2 linked regions of the Mus musculus genome follow. Each later gene encodes a partner of the first gene's protein in a complex. Links are inferred from orthologs where the notes say so. Each region holds a gene or a part of one and is shown on either strand. Other genes may lie near its edges. The genes, in order: Rasa1 and Arhgap35.

The links.
Region 2: the proteins of Rasa1 (region 1) and Arhgap35 are in contact, whole or in part, in a crystal structure (PDB 8DGQ), measured with the Homo sapiens proteins. The link is inferred for Mus musculus from reciprocal best matches to the Homo sapiens genes RASA1 and ARHGAP35. Residues at the interface, in NP_002881.1 of Homo sapiens: Arg188, Arg207, Ser209, Arg211, Val217, Asn228, His229, Phe230, Arg231, Ile241, Gly242, Tyr256, Leu262, Leu263, Lys264, Lys358, Ser379, Asp380, Asn381, Ser387, Gln397, Arg398, Phe399, Lys400, Met411, Gly412, Gly413, Arg414, His425, Tyr426; in NP_004482.4 of Homo sapiens: Ser1085, Asp1086, Tyr1087, Ala1088, Glu1089, Pro1090, Met1091, Asp1092, Ala1093, Val1094, Val1095, Arg1098, Glu1100, Asn1103, Ile1104, Tyr1105, Ser1106, Val1107, Pro1108, His1109.

Annotation. Positions count from the first base shown.
Region 1 is NC_000079.6:85,226,976-85,230,786, forward strand, and holds part of Rasa1 (ras GTPase-activating protein 1), read right to left. Parts: intron 3,501-3,811; coding exon 3,413-3,500; intron 2,708-3,412; coding exon 2,630-2,707; intron 1,791-2,629; coding exon 1,633-1,790; intron 1,333-1,632; coding exon 1,256-1,332; intron 150-1,255; coding exon 1-149. UniProt on the Homo sapiens protein: Inhibitory regulator of the Ras-cyclic AMP pathway. Stimulates the GTPase of normal but not oncogenic Ras p21; this stimulation may be further increased in the presence of NCK1.
Region 2 is NC_000073.6:16,611,976-16,616,451, reverse strand, and holds the start of Arhgap35 (rho GTPase-activating protein 35), read left to right. Parts: upstream 1-1,458; 5' UTR 1,459-1,980; intron 1,981-2,385; exon of another isoform or gene 2,386-2,412; intron 2,413-2,499; exon of another isoform or gene 2,500-2,628; intron 2,629-4,476.

The sequences.
Region 1 (3,811 bases):
TTCTGGCATGATTTTTTCCATGGAGTATCGTGCTCGAACACGCAAAGATCCTGGTTCAATACCTTTTAGTGGTATATGGGAACTTAGTAGAAACCATTCATCTGTTGCATGTCCTTTCTGTAACCTGCTCAACTGGCAACGCATAAATACTACAAAGAAAAAAACAAATTACGATATTAGAAAACCACTACAGTCACATAATAAACTTTTCTTGATAATCCCTTTCTCTAGTTTTAAATGCTGTCCACTAAGCAGGTTTTCAACACTACCACAAAGTCAACACTTCACTTTTTTTTCTTCACTTACTGAAGGCCTGTTATGTGGCATTTTGTAGTAGTATGGGAACATGGGATTGTGTCTGACATGCATGCAAAATGTCTTAAGCTATCAAAGAGGATGCAGTTCAAGTGCTGCAACAGTGAATAGTACTTTTGGACATAAGGATGAGTAAATCAGCCTAGGAGAGTTAAAAGTCTCTTCCAAACAGAAAAGTATGTTGAGATAGCTAGTGAGGTATCAAGGGAGAGGAATGAAGACCACATCCAAATAGAAAGTATGACATTTTTCTGTGCCATTACTGCAATGTTATCATATAAGTAATGGAGAAAAACATTCTTTTAAAAAGGTATGCAATTACAGACTAAACATTTTATTCAGAGAGGTACATGTCATTTGATCTGGCATATTACTGTTTACCCTAAAACCCTGAATTGTAAGAAGACATAAACCTAAGTCACCCCGATGTGAATCGTTAGATCACACTGTCATCTATCTATCCTATCAAAAATGTACTGCTTAGAATAGGATCGGAGCATCTGCTATTAAGCACCTAAATTTTCTGTGTATGTTTTTTTTTCTTTATCTTTGCAGGTTTAGGTTTTAATCCTCAGCAAGCTAGACAAATACTCTACCACTGAGTTACAGCTCTAGTATTAACAGTACCTTTAATATGTGCAGTGTAGGAAATGAGGGAACACTAAAAAAGTAAAGACAATAAAAAAATAATCACCACTACCATTTTCTCATCTTGTTCTTTGGGAACAGGAAAGTGGGCATTTGTATATTTTAAGTTGTAAGGACTTACAGTACATACACTTTAGTCGTTTTGTTTTTTCTTTCCTTCATAATCCCTTCTGAACAATATTTAGAAGCAAACTGTTATATAGCATGTGTTTCACTTCCATTTTGACACATAAATTCTAAAAATATATACAATATGCTTTTATTACTTTAGAAAGCTTCATATTCAACTTACAGATATCTGGATCTTTGCTTTTCTTTGTTTTATTACTAAGTGTGATTTCAAATCTATTGATGTCAGGAGGAAGATCACTAAAGAAGCAAGGAAAAAAATTAGAAAAATGTTGTAGTATCAAACTACCTTATTTCTTTTTTAACAGTTCAGTGTGTTAGATTTAAAACAGGATTAATAATTCATTAAAACAAAATTAGGAAATACAGAAAGCATTTTGTTATTGTTTTTGAGTAATTCAAATATGAAAGAAGCTAAGAGAAAATACTATTAAAACACCTAGAAAACAATAGAAACTTAAACAGATTATATATAAACAGTAGGAGGAAAATGTAATTATGATTGTAAAAACTGATTGAATATGACAAGATATGACTTACTCAAAGACAAACTCCTCTGACCATACTGGGTTTTGCCCCTCCCTTGCATGAGTTTTTGCTACTTGGACGCTATTCAAGTAGATGTTACAATATGGATTAGTAAAGTGTTTTACTGGTAGTTTATGGGCTTCTTCAATATGTAAAACAAGGCTGCTGACCTAAAGAGAACACAAAAATTCATATCCAACATTTCAAGACCTGAATATGAGGCTTTTAAATAAAAAAAAAAAAGACTTTTTTCCTTAATATTTAAAAGAAAACATAAGCTTTGCTAATCAACTACCATCATCCAAATGAAAACTACAAACATGGAATAAACATGCTTACATGTAATGTACAGTATAAGCAACCATATGCTTACATTAAGATTTCACTATTCTAGTAAGAGTCTCATGGTTAAGGTATTCTAAGACACCAATTTTACCTTTTGACATTTCAAAAACGACAGTAATTCCAAGAAACTAACTTATCACCAGTTTGGGTGCCTACGACATGACCACTACTATTGTTTTCTCTACATCAGTTATGTCACCTCCTACAAGTCAGTCTCGGAGCCTCTCCTTTTTCATACATGTAGACGACTATATGTTAATGACTGGGAACAATCCATAGCCACACAGCAGAGGAACTGACATATCCAAGGGATTCACGATATTAGCTCTGATTTTACATGGACAAATATATGTGACAATTTCAGTATATTGAATACTTAAATCACAAATACAATTAAATGTCCTTGGGACAAAACCCAGGTTTTATATTACAAAGAGTATTTAGTTACCTAAAGAAACAACTATTTTATATACTTCCAATAAAATAGTATGTTAAAATCAACAAGCTTCCTAGAAATATCCATTTACAGCAAAGCTATAAAATGCCTGAAAGACTAAAACCTTTCTACTCTTGAGAAATGTTAGGAAAAAATAGCATGCATAGAAAAAAACAGCAAAGTAAAAAGAAAATTAATTATTACAAGTCAGACAAAATGAAGTTTCACCTGACGAAGGCGTTTATTAGATGTCCCTGGGCTACTTTTCCGTAAACTGCAAAATGCTTGCAGACCTTTCATCCAATCCTACACTCACAAAAAACATAAACAGAAACAAAGCATTAGAAAGAAGCAGACATAAGTTTATGCAATTATCAAATTATCTTTTTTATATTTATTATTTGCCATTCATACCCTGCAAGTCCTACTCTCAAAATATACTACATTATAATTTCTTTCTGTCCTACCAAAGTGAAACAAAAAACAAAATTTTTAAGTCAAAGGGCCTACTTAGGATCTAAAGTATTATGGTCATTTGGTTCATTCTAGGCCTGGCAGATGATGTTCTATTCCCAGACACGTTCATTTTTTGATCTAATTTATTTTTCAGAGTTTCCTCAGAAAACAGCCATATCTGTACAAAATACAGTTAAATACTCTGAAATATTACAACTGGCTTTCTTTTAGATTATACTGACTTATGGAAATGTAATGAAATGATTAGTTTCAACTGAATTCATAGATTACTTAATGGTCAATTTTAAAGGGCAATTTTCATTCCTCATAACACTTCACTGTACATGTGTCTGTGTGTATGTCTATGTGTATTAAAAAGAAAAAAATGCTAAAAACTATTAACAAAAACTTTGACATGGAGTTTCTCATTTATTAAAATACTACCACTTTAGACATGCTTTCATAATTCTGTACTATGGTAGTTTTGTATGCAAGTTAATAAGGAAAATTAGGCTAATACAAAGATATTAATAGTTTAGGAAAAAGTGATCTTACCTCTGCTTGTTCTGGAGTTTCTCCTGCAAAGTAAAAGATGTAATGTTCTTCACTAAAGTGCTGAACTACTATCTGAAAACAGTTTGGCCTTGGAACACATGCACACAACACAGGAAAAAAAAAGAAGAAAAATTATTTAGAAACTTATAAAATATTTACACCAACTTTTAAAAGCCACAAAGTGTAATTTAAGATTGTTATAATTTTTAATTTAGAGAAGTTGGTATTTCGTTCTACCAAATTAAAATATCATTTATAAATTTCAACATTTAAAATAAAGGGCAAAACTAATATTAAACTTCATTACAAAGAGAAAAGTGATAAAAACGTTTAAGTAGAATTTCTAGAATTACACTTAATTAATAAACAGACACTGTGCATTCTCTGAAAAGTAAAAAG
Region 2 (4,476 bases), on another chromosome or scaffold:
TTTCCTTCTTGCCTTTGTAGAGAGCCAAAAGAGACATACATACTGGCTGCCTTAACCACCTTAAAGCAGACTCCAGGAATATCACCCACAGCATGACCTTTTTGACTTCATGAAGTTCTGGCTGCTGGATTTGGTCGAGCCCATGTAATTTTATTTAGCAATGCTTACTGCGTACTCAATACGTGTAGGTCACTCCTTTACACCCCACCCTCATTTAGAGACACAGTAGTTCCCTCTTAACTCCCCTGTTGCTTTCTGATGTTTCAGTTACCGGTGGCTAGGAGGGTCACATCCACATTTCTCTTATTACAGCGTAATATATATTCATCGTTTTTCTATTGTTGTGGGTAATCCTCTGCTAAGAGTAATCCATCAGCTATTATAGATATTAATGTATAAGGGAGATCGCCCATATTTTACTGGGTTCTAGTAGTTCGAGGATTCCCACCATGAATCGTGGCCATAGGGCCTATTATACCTCATTCGATTCTCCAAGCGACCCTTTGGAGTTCAGTATTGTTATCCCACTTTACAGATGAAAAGCCTGGAAAGAAGTGCAAGGCTGGATCGGAAACACGTGCTTCCTTCAGGCATTCCACACTCTGTGAGGCGCCGGGAAAGCCTGTCTTTCACAATCCATCCTTCCGGAGGGCTCCCAGAGGAATACAGAGTTAGAGGGGAGCCCTCTTACATCACCATTCCCCCTGCAAGCACCCAAAGTGACATGTGGTTTGCTGTCATTTGCCCGATGCTGACTTGGGAGACTAGGGCTGCAATGCAGGGCCTGTCCTTCCTCTGCCCGAGACCAAGCACTGGGAGAAATCACCAGTAACTTGTATCAACGCGCCTGGCCCACAGGTTTTTCTTCAGCGCCCGGGAAAGAGCACGTGCCCCCTGTCCCCGCCCACTCTTTTGGGCTGGCCAACGGCGAGCCTGGGTTGGGCTGTGAAGGACCACGCCCCCTTCCCTCGCCCAATTGGTTCACTCGCTGGGTACGCTCCCTCCTTCACAGCCCCGCCTCGCCACCCCACGTTACGTCTGTCCCCCCAACCCCCTCCGTTATCCCGAAGCTGCGGCTCCAGGAGGCGAACCCACCTCCCTCTGCCTTCCATTGGTTAGTGAGGTCCCGCGCGAGCGGGATGGAGCCCTAAGTCCCCGCCCTCACGAGCCGGGCCAAGCCTCTCAGAGATGGCTTTCTCTTGGAGCCGGCGCGGTGTGGGGAGGGGCGGCGGGTACTGCAGCCTGGAACGCGCGACGCCGTGCGCGCCCCCCTTGCGGGCTCCTCCCTCCCTTCGGTGGCTTCGCAGGCTGCAGCCGTCTCTGCGCACGCGCACTCAGCCCACCCCGCGCCCTCCTGTGCCAGTTCGCGGGTGTCCGTCCTCGCGCTGTGTAAATCTGGCGCCGCAGCCGCTGAGGTAGCGGCGTTTTCCTCAGGCGCGCACGCGCACTCGCGCCCTCGGTGTCCGCGCGTGCCTGTCCTCCCGGCCTACGGTCCTCGCGGTGCGCTCGGCCCACAGGGCCGTTATCCACTTCCCAACCCCAGCCCCAGCATCTCTCGCCCCTCAGAAACGCACGCGCACTTGCGAGAGGGTCTCCAGTACGCGCACGGCCGCGGCGGCCGCAGGAAGGAGGCGACAACGCCGCTGCCGCCGCCGCCGCCGCCGCCGCCATTGCGCGGGAGGGAGGGAACGAGCGAGCGAGCGAGGCTGGTCCGCCCTCCCCCTGGTTCCCGCCCCTCCCCCCTTCCCCTCCCCGCCCCCCGCCCCGAGGGAGAGCCGCGGCGCGGCGGGAGGAGGAGGTGGAGGAGGCGGAGGAGGGAGCCCGCGAGGGAGGGTCCGCCCGGCCCCCCGCCGCCGGAGCCGCCACCGCCGCCTCAGCCGCCTCAGGAACGAGTCGCTAGGGGAACATGGCGCCGGGCCCGCCGTCGCTGCGGCTGGGATCGCGGAGGCCGGGGCCGCGCTGAGTGCGCCCCCGAGACTGGTAAGTGTCTCGTAGCTGGCGGAGGGGAATGTGGGGACGGGCGAGGCGCCGGGCGCCGCCCCGCTGCGGGATCCAAGGGTGGGGGGAAAGGCGGGGACCGCGGGGCCCGGAGCCCGCGAACAATGGAGGAGCCGGAGGGGGAGGGGTGGGAGCGCCCCCCCCAGCGCCCCGCGGTCCCCGCGTCCCGGCCGCTGCATGCCCGGGCCCGGCCCGCGCGGCCCGCCTTGCCCTTCCTATTCGCTAGTGTCCCCGCAGCCCTGCAATCCCGGCGTCTGCCTCCACACACGCCCCACCAAACCCGGTGAAGGATCTCGGTGTCTCTCAGCCTCCACTCGAGATACCCGACTCCCAATTCTGAGCCGTCTTCTTTCCCACTTCCTCCCCCACCCCGACCCCCAGTCATACCTACTTCGCCACCTCCTGGAGTCGGCTGTGCTCCTGGGACAGTCTACCTCCTCATTGACCCCTCAGTATCCCCTCTGACGCTCACTTTGAATATCCGTGGCCCTTCTACCTTACCTGTTTTCTGCTAGCATCACTTTTGGGAGGAAATCCCCATTCTCCTTCTTTGGCCTATTTACTGTTATTATCCCTGCGGTAGAACATCTTGCATCCCCAGGAGCTGTCCCTTTAGGACCTGCGGTTCCACCTCCGTGGAGATCCGTATTGGTCTGTTGATACAGGCACTGCTCTACTGCCCTCCCGGTCTTGGCTTTGGACATAATTCCTCCTTGTATTTGGGCCCAACTGCCCCATATTTTGCCGGGTCGCAACACTGAACCTTCTGCACCTCCTAGGATGTCCCTAAGCTCCTTCTCCTACGGTTCTCAGATTCTGATGCGCCTTGCTCGCTTCCTTCCCTTCTCAGTGCTTGCTCCCATTTTGCCATTCAGACCCTGTCCTCTTTTCCAGACCCTTCTGCCTGCCAACTCTGCCCCTGTGCAGGCGCTCTGATCTTGCATGCACTCCCCTGTGGTGCCTGGCTTTTTGCCCTCTTCTTTTTACCCCCTTTTCTGTCCCTTAGGGTGTCTCATTTTTGCCATTTCCTTTAGCAGACCTCTGCCCTAACCCTGACTACTCAGTTGTACTCTCTCTGCACCTCTATTCTCGTTGAGTTTCCTCTCTTTCCCACCTTTATTTCAATGCCCCTCTGCTCTGCTTCATTCATTTGCTCTCTCTCCCCACAAACCCATCACCAGTAAGTTCATCTACACCTAGGACTTGCTGCCTATGTCTTCCTTGCTCCTGGTGTTTCTCTGCACTTTAGATGACTCTGACCCTGATCCTTCACACGCTGCCCATTCTGCCCTTTTCTTCTACCGGCTTTTCCCCTTCATTCTCTTTATTTGGTGCTCTTTCCTCTCTTTTGGAGCTGTCCATTTGTCTACATAGTTTTGAATCGTCTTGAACTTTACTGTTGCTGTCCCTGTCAAAGTGATCATCTTCAACACCAGTCTCCTTGTGTTCTATGTTTGGTCCTTCTTAATTCTAAGTCCTCCATCCCCCCCATTCAGCCTTTCACTGGATTTTTTTTTTGTTCATTCTCCGATCCTGTCTTGTTCTGCCTCCACCTCCTTTTAAGTCCTTTTCCTTAGTTCTAACCTGAAGGTATCATTCCTTTCTTATTATCCCCGTCTCCCCTTTCTTGGAGTCTACAAATTCTTGTTTAGATGTTCATTTTCTTTTGATACCCGTTTCTCAGTTCCTTTCCTCTTTTGCTTCTTGCCTTTCTCCCTCGTGGCTTTCTGCCTTTTTCCTCAACCCTGTCAGGCTCCCTTTCTAATACTTAACTCACATCACACCTGCTTCTCAGGGTTTCCCACCCACCACCAACAAGTTCTCCATTGAGGACACCCCTGTCCTATACATCTCTCAGCATTTTCCAGGATAGACTGAGCCGAGGTACTCTAGGCACTGATCCAGGCTGCAGATTCTCTGTGAGTCCTGAGTGTTTTGAATTTTATCCTCCAAAGTCCTCCTGAGATCTGTTACAGAGGTAGGGATTGATTGGTTGCAGCTCTCTGCAGTCTTGGGAGTGTCTCCCCATTTTTCTGACTCTCATCAAGGTTAGTGATGGTGGATAGGATTCATCTATTGCCCCATTTATGTTCTCTTTGCTCCCTCTCTGGGCCTCACAGCTTTGTGCCCTTGGGAAAGGGGACTGCAGCTGCTCCTGACTCTTTATTCTTCTCATTTCCCTCCTTGCCTCTCTGAGCAGTTGTAGCGAGTTGTAGGCTCTACACTCTTCCACCTCCACACCACACACCAGTATGCCCCTACCCTCCCCCCAGAAGCATTCATGAGTTTGTATTTTTTTGTTTATTTTTGGTTTTTCATCAGCTGAAAAGTCATATTCTTGTTTTACTCCAGGCCAAGGAAATTTGAGTTCTCAAGTTTTGCATGTCCCAGGGGTTGCTGAGGCCACATTTGGTGTTTACGGGCTCTAGTCTTCAGAAGCTGTAGTCTTGCCTTCTTGGTTAATGCTGTGATCTTTGG